2 linked regions of the Tamandua tetradactyla genome follow. The protein of the gene in region 2 purifies or fractionates together with the protein of the main gene of each other region. This does not show direct contact. Links are inferred from orthologs where the notes say so. Each region holds a gene or a part of one and is shown on either strand. Other genes may lie near its edges.

Evidence for each region. The genes of interacting proteins can lie anywhere in the genome.
Region 1: the proteins of AICDA (region 2) and CTNNBL1 purify together in Homo sapiens (affinity purification with western blotting; 3 studies listed by BioGRID, with this or other methods). This does not show direct contact. The link is inferred for Tamandua tetradactyla from reciprocal best matches to the Homo sapiens genes AICDA and CTNNBL1.

The regions. Positions count from the first base shown.
Region 1 is NC_135327.1:14,534,781-14,541,831, forward strand, and holds the start of CTNNBL1 (beta-catenin-like protein 1), read right to left. Parts: upstream 3,022-7,051; 5' UTR 2,866-3,021; coding exon 2,836-2,865; intron 2,777-2,835; exon of another isoform or gene 2,120-2,776; intron 1-2,119. UniProt on the Homo sapiens protein: Component of the PRP19-CDC5L complex that forms an integral part of the spliceosome and is required for activating pre-mRNA splicing.
Region 2 is NC_135333.1:70,837,127-70,844,696, reverse strand, and holds the start of AICDA (single-stranded DNA cytosine deaminase), read left to right. Parts: upstream 1-4,561; 5' UTR 4,562-4,646; coding exon 4,647-4,654; intron 4,655-7,570. UniProt on the Homo sapiens protein: Single-stranded DNA-specific cytidine deaminase. Involved in somatic hypermutation (SHM), gene conversion, and class-switch recombination (CSR) in B-lymphocytes by deaminating C to U during transcription of Ig-variable (V) and Ig-switch (S) region DNA.

The DNA of each region.
Region 1 (7,051 bases), on a different chromosome or scaffold from region 2:
TAGCCTTAGAACTGTAAAACAGCAACGTATTCAATTTCCCTTTTTAAAAGCCATTCCATTTCTGGTATAATGCATTCTGGCAGCCAGCAAACCAGAACAGTTGGTTTCAGCTCTGGCTTTGCTCTTCACTAGCTGTTTGACTTGGAGCAGGTTAACTTGACCTCTCTGGCTTGGGTTTCCTTTTCTATAAAATAAGCATTCCACCTACCTCAAAAGGCCATTAATTGATAATTAAATATGATAACTTATATGAAAACACTTTAGCTCAGCCCCTGGCTCATGGTAGGAAGGCAGTATAGCACAGTGGTTAGGAGCTCCAGCTATGAAATCAGACTGCCCAGCCTTGCCACTATCTGGCTAGATGCCTTAAGGCAGGTACTTTTTTATGCTTCAGCTTCCTTGTCTGTACCAATGCAGTAAGTAATGCATCTCTCATTTCTAAAAACGTTACCATTTTAAAGAGTTTTTATATCTCTAATTTCATCACCTACCATTCTCTTCCTCACTCACTATATTCTAGTCACATCAATCCTCTTTCTGATCTTCTAACCATGAAGAACTAACTATGAGTTTCTACCACATAGAAGATGTTATCTCTGCCTCAATCTGTCCCTTTCAACCTTCAGTCCTCAACTTTAATGTCCATTCCTGAGTAAGACCTTCCTAGAACATACTATCTATTAGAACATACTATCTAAAGTAATAGGTCCTAGCTCCACGCCTAATGGTTATTTTCTATGGCAGAATTATCTACTAAAAACATATTGAAAGCCGTAAATGAATCACATGTGTAACTTTAAACTTTCTAGTAGCAACATTTAAAAAGTGACATTATTTTTAATATATTTCCTTTAACCTAATATATCTAAATACTATAATTTTAACATGTAATCAATATAAAAATATTTTTACAGCCATTTTTCATGCTAAATCTTTGAAATCCAGTGTGTACTTCATACATATTGCCACATTTCAAGTGTTCAATAGTCACATGTGGTCAGCAGCTACCATACTGAATACTGCAGTTTTATAGCATACCCTGCTTTATTTACATCATAGCACTTATCACTATGTTTATTTTCTTATCTTGTGACTTCCCCACCAGACTATAAGCTCCACAAAAGGAAGAACCTTGTCTGTCATTTTCATTGCTGTACACCTAGTGGATACAATGCCTTGCACCCAGGAGGTGCTTAATAAATATTTGTTGAACTTTAATATTCTGAGTCAATGGACTAGTCATTCCACAATTCCCAAAAAGGCATACAACCACTCATCCAGCAACCCTCCTATTTCTTTTTTCCTTTCATGTTCAACTACTGTCTTAAAAAGAACAATTTCTTGGTTATATACCTCCCCACTGTTTACAAGTTCCTTCTCATCATGTCTGGAGTTTCCAGATCAAAGCTGGGTATAATGGATTAGGAAGATGCACAAAAGTAATAGTAATATTTATTGAATGTGTTTACTCAGTGGTAGGGATTAGTCAAAGCACTTTACAACTATGCTTTACGGCAGCCCTATGAAATAGATACCATCACCGTCCCCACTTACAGATGAGGAAACCAAGGCATAGAGAAGTTAAGTATTTCATTCAAGGTTACAAAAGTCAGTTGGTAGCAAAACTGAGTTTCCAAGAAAGCTGGAATTCCAGACTCCTGGTTCTTAATCACCTATTCTCTATTGCAGGGTCGCCCAATAGAAATACACTGTCAACTATAAAACTAACTTTAAATTTTCTAGTAGCCATATTAAAAAGTTAACAGAAATAGGTGAAAACTATTTTAAACGCATTTTATTTAACCCATTATCTGAAATACGATTATTTAATCAAATGATTTAATAATCAAAATAACCGATATGATCGATAGGATTAAGCAACAATATAAAAATTCAACTTTTTTTAATACTACATCGTCAAAATCTAGTGTGAATTTACACACACAGCACATCTCAATTCAGACTAGCTACATTTCAAATGTTCAGCAATCGCATGTGGCTAGTAGCTGGACGGCACAGCTCTACTATCCCCTCAAAAGTAGCCTTTCTGGGGAAGTTAAAGAGTGGGGAAAACTTTGGGCTGGAAGTTGAGAGACTTGAGCTCTAGCCCAGATCTTACTTGCTGAGAAACTTGGGCAATTCCTTTCTGTCCTCGAGCCCGAAGTTTTCCTACAAGTACCCTGAGTGAGGGCACAAGAAGATTCCCCTAAGGTTCTATCCCATGTTAAAATTCCAAACATCTCCCGACGACAGCAGTTAACATGGCTACAGCTTTCTACACTTTAAAATAGGCTTTCAGATCCATTAGCTGACATAGTTCTCAAATAAACCTACAAGGTAGTTATTACTGTATCCATTTCATAGACAGAATAGCTGAGCTCAAAGGGGAGGAAAGGACTTGCCCATAAGCCCCACTGCCAGTCAGCGGAGAAGCTGGGGCACAAATCCAAGAAAGAGCTGTGGTCCTCCGACCACCACTACACACTCAAGGACTTGGGAGCGGGGAGTGGTGAGCTGAGGGGCATGGTCGTGAAAACAGGGTAGTCTGGGACCTTCAGGGAAGTTGAGGAGAACCAGGATGGGGTGAGAGGGAACCCAGACTGGAGTGAGAACAGGTGAGAGGGCTCAGGCCTTGAGAAGGTAAGGAACTGAAAGGGCCCAAGAGGACTATGGGAAAGTGAAATTGAGACAAACTTGGACCCGGGTGGCACAAGTTGACATGAGGGAGCCCGGGGGCCCCGGATTTAGGTGGAGAGGAAGTGAGATGAGATTCTGGCCCTGCTACCCGTTGCTCATGTGAAGGGGGGTTCCACGGCCCTTTCCCGGGCTTCATACCTGATAGCTCAGAAGTTCGCCTACGTCCATAGTTCAGGGTCCTGCTAACGCCGGCTACGCGAATTCCCTCCACTCACGCTGAAGCTAAGGCCCCCTCAGCAGCTGCTCAGCCACACTACCGTAAAGCGCCGTGAGCAGGCCGCAGAGACAACCGGGTAAACGTGCCCGAGCGGGCCACACTGCGGTAAAAGGGAGGGCTACCGTAAAGCGCGCTGCATTTGTGACAGTTCTGCTTCCGCCTCGAGCCTGAGCGGGGCGGGGAAATTGGACGGAGACCTGAAGGAGGTTGGTGAGGTGGGAGAGAGAAGTGGAGGGCGCTTCGTTTTATGGCGCGCTCCCTGTGTGCAGGGTTGAGCACTGGGTGTTTCACGGGTATTTTCACAATCCTTCTAGCGACCTGGACCACTGTATCTTTATTTGCTTCTCATTTCACAGATAAGGAAACCGAAATATACCTAGTTCAAATTGAGATGTGCCATAAATGTAAATAAACCAGACACTGGATTTTTAAGACATGTTAATTACATATTGAAACGATGTTTTGGATGAGTCAAATAAAATATATTATTAAAATTAATGCATTTGGATGCGATTTTATTGAGAAATATTCCCAGACTATATAATCATCCAAAGTATACAATCAATGGCTTACACATCATATAGTTGTGCATTCATCACCACAATCACTTTTAGAACATTTTCATTACTTAAAAAAAAAAGTTAAGCGAAAATAAAAAACACCCAAACACATTCCATACCCCTTTTCCCCCCTATTATTTATTTTTATGTTTTTATTTTCTCACTTATCTGCCCATACACTGGATAAAGGAAGTGTCAGTCACACTGTAAAAGCTATATAGTCATACCATCATCATCAAGAATCAAAGCTACTGGATTACAGGTCAACAGTTTCCTTCTAGCTATTCAAATACACTAAACTAAAAAAGGAATATCTACATATAATACATAAAAATAACCTCCAGACTGACCCCTTGACTATTTGAAATCTCCTAGCCACTGAAATTTTATTTTGTTTCATTTCTCTTCTTCCTTTTTGTCAAGGCTTTCTCAATCCCAAGATGTCAGGGCCAGGCTCAACCCTAGGAGTCAGGTCCCACATAGGGGGAAGGGTAATGCATCTATTTACAGAGTTGGTTTAGACTGAGAGGCCACATCTGAGCAACAAAAGAGGTCCTCTGGGATGACTCTTAAGCATAATTATTAGTAGGCTTAACTTCTACTTTGAGGAATACATTTCATAAGGGTAAGCCCAAAGAATGAGTTTGATTTATTACACTGGGAGTCTCTAATGCTTGTGAGAATATCAGAAATTCCCCAGGTGGTAAAGCTTAATATTTCCACATTTTTCCCCAGTCCCTCAAGGGGACTTTGCAAATACTTTTTTCTATTTTCTGCCCAAATTACTCTTGGATATATCAGGTTATTATATTAACCTGTACAAAATAAGATTTCATTCCCTATTCAAGTTTCCATGTAATTATATTGTTTGGATAAACCAACCATACAGGTTAAATTAGATAATGTGCTACAGAAAATATAAATTTTATACCAAATAAACATCTCTTCCTTTGGTCTCACACAGAAATTGAAGTTTTAAAATACAGTCACTATCAGTCTTTACTCTGTATTCAGATTACCTTAGTCCTAACCAGATCAGCTTCATTCATATCTCTAACTGAAGTCTGATCTCTTTTTTAGCTTCTTTAACAGTTGTTACATGGGGTAATGCTGGCTTTCAGAGCTGCAGAACTCTAACTCTGAATCTCAGATGTCACACAGCTACTCAAAGTTCCAGGGAAATCCAGCTTATACACAAAGAGTTCAGTTTCTCATAATAAAATTAATACATTTTCATGTGGTGAGTAGAAAAAGTTTTCTCCTCTTTTTTAATGTAATTAGAAAAAATTTAATTACACATGGCTTACATGTGAGCCTTCCCTCATATTTCTATCGAACAATGCTGGCTCAGAAAGTGACTCAGCCAAGGCAATACAACTATTACTGGCTGAGAAACTATCAGTGATCATGTAAACGAGAAATTAGGATTGAAGGGATGATTTTGATTACTGAATCATTACATAAATATACCTTTTTTTGCTTTCTGGCATATTGGAGTAGACAGGGTAATACCTGAAATCTCTGAATTGTAACCCAGCTGCCTTGGTCTCTGATAATGGTTGTATATCAGTGGTTATCTTCTGCCCCTGTGACTAAGCTTCATCTGTACTTTGTCATCCAGTTTTTCAACTTTAGAGTTTTGTAACCACTAAAGACAGCCCTTCATGTTTGTTAATGAAGGGTCTTGGGTCTGCTGGGAACTATCCCACCCTAAGTCCAAAATAATCTTGATAACTGAGACCAAATTTAACCTACATGGGTCTGCCTGACATGCGCAGTAGCTTAGACTTAACCTACAAGTGACCTATACCTCATTTCGCCATTTTCTTTCATACATTCCATGAATAAGCCTGTAATCCATGTGCGAATGCTCAAAAATCAGATCACGTCTAATTACATCATCTGGGGTCACTGTACTCATTATCTTAAACCCTGCCTGTCTTTTTCTCTAATAAAACTACCAGAATTAATGGAGTTCCAGGAGATAGATTTTGGGCCACTAGGCCAGCTACTCTCCTACAAAATATCTAGTAATAAACCCTTTGTCTCTTTGAAACCCCGGTGTCTCAGGAATTGGTTATTGAGCGCATCTGGCAAAAGAATCCATGGTCTTCACCTGGTAACAATCACATGCCCCTCTCTGGGCTTCTGTTTCTTGATCTCTGCAAGGCCAGGTGGGAACTGGATCATCTTTTCTCTATATGAGTGATGTGAAAAGATCTTTCTGGAGGAGAAAATTGCATTCACAGAGAGCATCTGAACGCCTGCGATTTAGATGAGGCTCCATCTTCGGTGGAGCTGAGGCCTGTCCGCCCACAAACTCCCAGCTCTTCACAAGCAGGGATTGTGTATGTCATGGTCACCCTGTAGCCCCCAGCACTGGGACAAGGGGAGGGTTTCACAATGGGCCTTGTGGGCCGTGGTGAAGAGACTGGATTTTATCTCAAGAGTATTGGGACGCTGTGAAAGGTATTAAGCACGGGAGTGACATGATTAGGTTTGTTTTTAAAGGATCACCTGCATAATCTGCTTTGAACTGAGTTATTTGTGGTTTTTTCTCCCTCCTACTTAGCTGTGACTATAGACAGTGCCTTGTAAAGGAGGCATGAGGAGTGATGATGAGGGTAGCCTGTGACCACAGACAACCCCGTGTTCTAGCGTGTGCTATGCTAGAGCCATCTTGTATAGGCAGGCTCCTAAGAACCCACGGTTACATTTTCAAGCAGGTTGGCACCAGGTTGGTAGCTTGAAATCATCCCTGGTGGGCATATTTACATCACAGAAATCAGCAGATACTCCCCCCAAGCAGACTGATGGTTCTGGTTCTAGATGACGCCCCATCAAGTCTAGGTGTGCCGTTGGGCAAGTAACTTTCCCTCTCAGCTGCAGTTTCCTCATCTGTAAAGTATTTCACTCATTCATTCAACAACTATTTACTGAGTGCCTAATCAATGCCAGGCATAGTTCTGGGCTCTGAGGTTATAAAAGTTGATAAAACAAAGTTCCTGCCATCTTGGAACCTACATTCTAGTTGGAGAGAAAACCTCATGAGGAAGATATTGTTATGATGCTCATATTATAGATGGGGAAACAGAGGTAAGTGCTTTTCCTCGATGTGCCTGATTTCCGCACCTGGGAAGTGGAGGGCAAACTGAATCTGCTTCACAGGATGTGGGAGAACTCACACGAGCTCCTGCAGGCAGAGCAATCAGCACAGAAAAATGTTCCATCAACGTTTGGTGTTAATATCATGAGTTGAGTAGGAGGTGGAGGGAGAGAGTTGAGGGCATTCCTTTGAACTTTTCCTTTACTTTCATGTAGGTGGCAGGCATTTAATCTGCTCTATGTAATTTCAGAGGCCAGGCTTTAAAACTCAGAATCATAAGGAAAAATTCTGTGAGAACCAGGGGCAGTGAACATGCTGGAATGAGAGTGATCTGTTCCCCGGGGAAGGCTACTCAGAGGAGGTGCCATTTGGACATGGATTTAAAGGATGAGAGGAGTTTACCAAGAGCACCTGGTGGAAGAAAGGTGGTCCTTGCAGAGGGAAAAGCATGAGCAGAGGCATGGAAGTGAG
Region 2 (7,570 bases):
GAAACCCTCAGGACAGCATTGTGAGGAGAGATTTCTCTCCCAATGTCATGCACTGAGTGTGTGCAAGAGCTGGATCTAAGGTACACGTCTCCAGTTGTCAAAGACCATGCTGGCTTAATTACATCTTACTGTCCTCTAGGAATCTTCAGCCCCATCCTTCTATTCAAATTTCACCCATTCATCAAGGTCTCAATGAAATACTGCCTCCACCACGAAGCTTTTGATGACTTCTTTCTGTGGTGATTCTATTTCGGTTCCTCTCTAACGACACAAAGTAGGTGATACATGCCCTATATTCCTAAAGATCTAAATCGAGGATAGATGACCACAGATTGGGATGTTTTTGCAAGGATCCATGCTTTCTAAACAGAGTAATAATCTCATGGTTTCTCTTGAACAATAAATCATAATTAACCTATGAATATACATATATATATATACATATATATATAGATATAGATATATGGCTTCTCTCACATGTATTATTCTATTTGGGTTTCTACAACACTTCAGCAAAATAGGATATACCTTTATAACATGGTGTGGTTGTATATTAGAATCAGGAGGTGGCATTGTAAACAGAAGTGAGGCACCACATTAAATCACACATTCCTAGAGGGACCGTGGGAGTGAAGTAGCATCACACCAAGCATTGAACACTTAACTAGGTATCCACAGCAAAGTAAAGAGGAGTGTGCTTGAAATGACAATAAATGTTGCTTGTGGATAAATGCTGGGTGTGGTAAAAAAAAAAGAAAGTGCAATTCATAGAAGCAGGCAACATAAGCATAACATGAGCTTTCCAAAATGTGCTTGCTCTGCTTTTTTTTAAATTCAAATTATGGTTTTAAATTTTTATTTGAGAGGTTTAAGAAAAATCATATAGAAAATAGAGTTCCCATATACCACTCCATCACACACATGCTTTTCCTTATTTTCAACATTTTGCACTAGTGTGATACCTTTGTTAAAATTTATGAAACAATATTACCATAATTATACTATTAACTATATATAGTCCATAGTTTACATTAAGATTCAATGTTGATGTTGTATAGTCCTATTGATTATCCTAAAAATTTCTATTCCTGCAACATATATACAATTTCCCCTCAACCACATTCAAATAAATAATCAAATGGTTTCTATTGCATTTACAATATTGGGTTGCCATCACTGCCATCCATCACTGCCATCCATTATAAAAACTTTTCTATTACCCCCCCCAAAAAACTCTATACCAATTAAGCATCCCCCACCTCCACCCCCACTCCTGCCCCTGGTAACTTGCATTCAAGTTTCTGGCTCTATGAATTTATGCGTTTTAATTATTTCATGTCAGTGAGGTCATGCAATATTTATCCTTTTGTGTCTGGCTTATTTCATTCAACATAATGTCTTCAGGGTTCATCCATGTTGTTGCATGTATCAGAATTTTGTTCCTTTTTGTGGCTGAAAAATATTCCATCGTATGCATATAGTACCTTGTGTTTATCCATTCATCTGTTGATGGATAGTTGGGTTGCTTCCTCATCTTTTGGCAATTGTGAATAATGCTGCTATGAACATGGATGTGAAAATATCTGAGTCCTGTTTTCAGTTCTTTTCAGTTCTTTTGAGGATAAACCTAGAAGTGTGATTGCTAGTTCACATGGTAATTCTATACTTAACTTTCTGAAGAATTGCCAGATTGTTTTCAACAGGTTTACTTTGATATTTAAAGTGCTTATGACTCAAAAATTTTAGCTGAATAAACATACTTTAGAAATTTCCCTTGAGGTATCATAACTGATGGGGTAGAGACGGAAGAAGGGAAAGAGAAAGCAAAGAGAAGAGTGAATAAAATAATCTAAACTTCGATGGTTTAGAGCAGCTTTAACAAAGGGTGTGGTCTGAAAGTTTCAGAGTGAGGACGTGGCGTGTTGAGAAGAAGCACAGAGACACCTTTTTCCATAGCTCTATCACCAAATAATCTTAGAACAAGAAGAACCTCTTATTATATGATGTATACTTTTCATAGCAAGCATCACAGTTTTTATTGTATTTTTACATGTCTGGTGACTTGATTATTGCATATTTCCCACTGGGATATACGTTCCACCAGAGCCTTATTAACTAATCAGCACATTTTTTGAGATGTCTATTATGTGCCAACGCTGTACTAAGCATTGAGGGTACCACAATGGAAAAAAATTCTTTCCTCTCATGGACCTAAGACAAGACAGATAGGTAAAATAGTGCATGATTTTGTTTCTTGGTTGTCAAAGCAAATATCATGCAATGGGTTGGCTTAAAAAATGAGTGTTTATTGGCTTATTGTTCTGAGGCTAAGAGAAGTCCAAATCAAGGTGTCATTATGACAATGTGTTGTTTGTAAAGATTGGATTTTGGAGCGGGCCACCAGTGATCCTTGGTCCTGGGCTTCTCTTTCAAATGGCAATGTACATGGTAGCCTCTCCTGGCCTATTCCTTCTCTTCTAGGTTCTGTTGTCCTTCAGCTTCCTGCTTTCCCTGGCTCTATGTCTGAATTTTATTCTGCTCATAAAGAACTCCAATGATAGGATTAAGACCTATCCTGATTGAGTTGGGCCCCACCTTAATTGAGTAGCTTCATCAAAATTCCTACTTTAATGAGTTCATACCCACAGGAATGGGTTAAGTTTAAGAACATGTTTTTTTTTTAATTTTCTGAGGTACATACAGCTCCAAATCACTACAGTGTATTTTGAATGGCAGATTCTAGAGAGATCAGTTAGGGAAAGGGGATAAAAAGTTTCAGGATGATAAGATTCAGATGCAATCTTGGATATGGTGATCAACAAAGTGTCAACCAGAAAGAGGTATTCATAAAATAAATGAGGAAATCAAGCATAAGGATGTATGGAGGAAGAGAATTCTAGGCAGGAAGAAGAGCAAGTGCAAAGACAGAGGCAGGAGTGTGTATTCATTGTCTATGCAAGGGAGAGTAGGAGATGAGGTCAGAGAGGGACAGATGGTATAGGGTCTTGTAAGCTACTGCAAGGATGTTGTCTTATACTCAGAGAAGGGGAGCCACTGGAGAGTTCTAACAGTGACATGACCTGCAGTGTTTCAGAAGGACTACTGGACCACTTTGTAGAGAGTAGGCTGAAGGATGGAGATGAGAAGGACAGCTGGGAGGCTAATGCAATAACCCGGCTTTCTAGACCTAGAGATGATGACAAATGGCAGTTACTGGGTAAATTTTGAAAGTAGAGTTAACAGGATTTGTTAATGGCTGCAAAGGAAAGAGAAGACTAGGACATGAAAGAAAGAGAAGTCAAGGGTGAACGCAAAGTTTGGGGCTTGAACAGTTGGAAGAATGACACTGCCATTCCTGAGATGGGGAAGGGGCAAGAAGAGTAGTTGGGTACGGGGGTAGAAAATAGGGCCTCAGTGTTAGACAGACATCCCAACAGACATCCCATCAGACAGGTATGAGATTCCCATCAGACATCCCATCAGACAGGTATGAGATTCCCATCAGACATCCCATCAGAAAGGTATGAGATTACCATCAGACATGCAGATGCTGAGAGGGAAGCTGAACACATTCATCTCAAGTTCAAGAGAGAGGTCAAAGCTAGAAATATGGATTTGGGAATCATCAGCATATCATTGGTATTTAAATCCGAAGAAGGAAGAGGGCAGGAACAAAGGCTGCTTTGCTCATCATTGCATCCCCAATACCAGGCAGTTTCTGGCATATAGTAGGTACTAAAATTCTATGCAATGCTTAAGGGGTGGGGTAGAAGGGAGAAGGAAAATCTTTAATATACCAGTTGCATTGGGGCAGGAACTAAAGCCTCTTATTTGAAAAGTCCAGCCTATTTACAAGTTCAATTTAGATATTGAATCTGTCTGGTGTGATATGCACTTTTGTATTGTTTGGGATTTTGTTGCTTCTGACTTCAAAATAAAAATATGATCTTGTGGAATCGATAACTTGGGCAAAAATCATTCTTTAGTACAAACATCTAGTCTTCTAGCAATTGTGGTAGTGCAATCCAAAAGAAAAAAATCAGTGATCTGGGAGGCAAAATTTCTGGGTCGTAGGTCCTGTAACTGATTGTGTTTACTTGCTCAGCATTAAAGCAGTGGCTGTTAGTGCTTGTCTCTATACAGATCCATAGATATTGCCTAATTAAATGAGTTAATGGATTCTTTTAGTTCACAGAACACAAGCTGTTATTCAAATGAACATCATCATCATCATCATCATCATCATCATCATGCTTTTAAAGTTAAAGATATGATTTGTTACCATGATGGCAATTTAAGTAGTATCCACTGTCTCTGGATCTTTGATACCTATGGAGGATGGACTGGATTTTTAAAGAAATAGTCTTAGGAGAACCTAGGCATTAAGCAGAGCTGCCCTCAGTCATCTACCCCGTGTGGCTCTGCCCCTGACAACCCCTCCCATCTTCACGGGACCCAAATCAGGGGGAAGGTGCTCTGTGGTACCTGGTGGTGGCAGTGCTGTGGGGAGGGGAGGAGCCCAAAGGGATAAACTCAGATTTGAATGTGGGCAAATCTGACAGAGACACTGAAGCAGCAGTGCTTGAGGCAAGCTTTCCTTGGCCTAAGACTTTCAGGGAGTCAAGAGAGCCACTCTGGAAACTGCTATGGACAGGTAAAGGGTCAGTCTCCTCGCGTGTCCTGGGTGGTTGGTTTTACCAGCTTTTCTCTCAGAGAGTATCTGTGGAATGAATTGGCAGCTAACCCTTTCTCTTGTTTCTCTATCTGACTGACACAATCTGCTTGTTTAAAATACATGTTTATTTTTCTGGATCTGTCTCATTACTGTTCAAACCTGCCTTGCTCTCAACCTAATTCTCAGTGCTTCTCCAAGTGACTCTCTTTTCTGTGTTGCAAAAGAACTTTTATGCAGCATATACTGACTTGACTTGGTTACAAGTGGTTTATGGTAATATCAGCAAAGCAAATGTTTAAAGACTCATATCATGAAAAAGTAAAAGTAATACTATACTACACACAGTCATGGTAATTGTAAAACAATTTTGTACACATTTCAAAAATCAAACCACTTGAAGACAGTTTCCTAGGGAAACTTTACAGAAAAATTTAGTTACATAGTAAGAAAGTTTGTTTTTTTTTTTTGAAAATAACAAACATTCAAAATTAGTTGCCTGAAAGTCATTATGATTTATAATAGAGAAAAAGTTTCAAATAGGTGATTTAATGTTGGAAGCCAGACCTCTAGGCATTTTAACTTTTTAACCAGACTTTGAATTTGCGTACACATGGCCTAACTCATTTTATAAATGAGGATTCTGTAAGCTTTTCAGTTTGTCCACCTATAAATTATGATAATTTAAATTTTATTGTAGAATTTAGTCTATTCCTACTTTTCTGATTACTAAAATATATAAGAATCATACCTAATCCACATACTTTATTTCAATTTAATGCTTTTACATAGAATATAAACTTGTTCTTCAGAAGGTTTTCTTGAGAGTAAGCACTGTTGAATATCTCTTCACTACAAATGACATCTTTTTTTGTTTGGCGGTTATTTTAAAAATGAATGTGAGGTATAAGTCAACAATCCTCTGTGGTCAGAGGTGGAGGGACCAGTGGAGATCCTTGCACATGATGAAATACAAAGCCACAGTAAAATCAGTAGTCAAAATTCAGAGAAAGACCAAAAAAGGAGAAAGATGAAATTCAACAGGAGAAAAGGGAAATCTATCATTATCATTAAAGAAAATGCTGTCTGCAGAACTCAATAGCGATGGTGCACTGCAGTGGAGATGAATGTCAGGATTATTTTTAACCCATTTGTCTCTGGTTTGCATTGCTGGGGATGCAGCTCTTGTTCTGCCTCAGGGAACACAGCTGTCCAGAGCAGCTGTCAACATGAGGGCCTGAAAAACTGTCTCTGTAAAATCCTTTGTACCCAGAAGAGAAACATCTTACATCTCCACTGAGACAAATGGGGAGCTGGCAGCAGGGTACTAGCTAGAGGAGAAGCAAGAAAAATAACAGATCACGATCACGAAATTCCTTTCCCTGTGCCTGGTTACCTGGGACAGAAAAAGCAAGGAACTATTGCATTTTCGTGCAGGGTAGGAAGTAAAGTCCATCTGAATTGCTTTAGCTAGGTCATGCCCTTTTCTATACTCCCAGGAACCTTTCTCTTCTTTATGCTAACAGGTTCTCCCCTTTCCTGCAATAAAAAAGATATATATTTGCTCTCCCTTTCTCATCCATACAGCCCAGGAGGGTAGGTTAGATGTATAACTGATTTATTGTTAAAGATGATGATTAATCTGTTTAAAACTGACTGGGCCCCAAAGAGAGAATATGTTTATTTTATTCTCTCTCTAGAGCATTTATCATGCATCTATTATCTATTCAGCTAATTATATATGCTAAGGGTTATTAAATGCTAATTATGTAATATAGTTCATAGTAATTGTGGTAGAGCTATGGAGATTACCATAAATTATCATTTTAAAATAAAGCAAACTATTATTAGATTTTTGTGAGTATCTATTTTAGATTCCTACCAAAGATGCAATTTTTTAAATTTAAAGAAGGGAACAATATGGTTGACTCATTTTTATACTATTTGATATGTATATTATATATACTGGCAATAAATTCAATTTTGTTTCAGAGTTTAAGGTATTTTCTAATAAGCTTCATGTGTGTGAGAAGAGGCCTTTGAATTGAAAAAGCTATAAAGAGCCATTGTCCTTCTTGTTTATTCAATCAAGTTGACGTTTTGGTAGTTGATCTTTAAAGTCAAAGACTATCACCTATATCTAGTTATGAAAATGTCAGTTCTCAATATATATCCATCCACACAAAGACTGGTACACTAATGTTCAAAGCAGCTTTATTCACAATAATCTCAAACTGGAAACAATCCAAATGTCCATCAACAGGTGAATGGATAAACACAATGTGTTATATTCGTGTAATGGAATACTACTCTGCACTTAAAAGGAAAAAATTGCTGGTACTCATAACAACATGAGTGAACCTTGTGTCTTATACTGAGTGAAATAGCATAAGACAAGAAAGAGTAGATCAGTAGATAATGTATGATTTACATGACATTCTAGCCAATGAAAACTAATCTAGTTACAGAAAACAGATGAGTGATATGAGGGAAAGAGAATTGATTGCAGGGGGTGGGGGGAGAGTGAACTGGAAAGGTCTGTATACTGATTGTGGTAGCAGTTTGGGGTGTTTTCATTTCTCATTTTAAATACACGAAGTTTACTGTTTATACCGCAATGCAAAAATAATAATGATCGTAAGTGAAGAGCTTCAATTTCTTGCCAGCAAACTGCATTCAAATTCCTTACCATGCTTTTGCTTTATAAATTTTTTGCACTTCTTCCCGATGCCATGAAATTGCAACGCTGATCCCACATGTTAAGCAAATACATTTCTGAAAATGACAAAGGGCAGAGACACAACTCATGCTTAAGTAATCACACTAGTATATAGCTGGTGTTACTATGCTTAAAACTGTAATGTTATTCTTAATTTCTTTAAACAGATTTGGACCAGC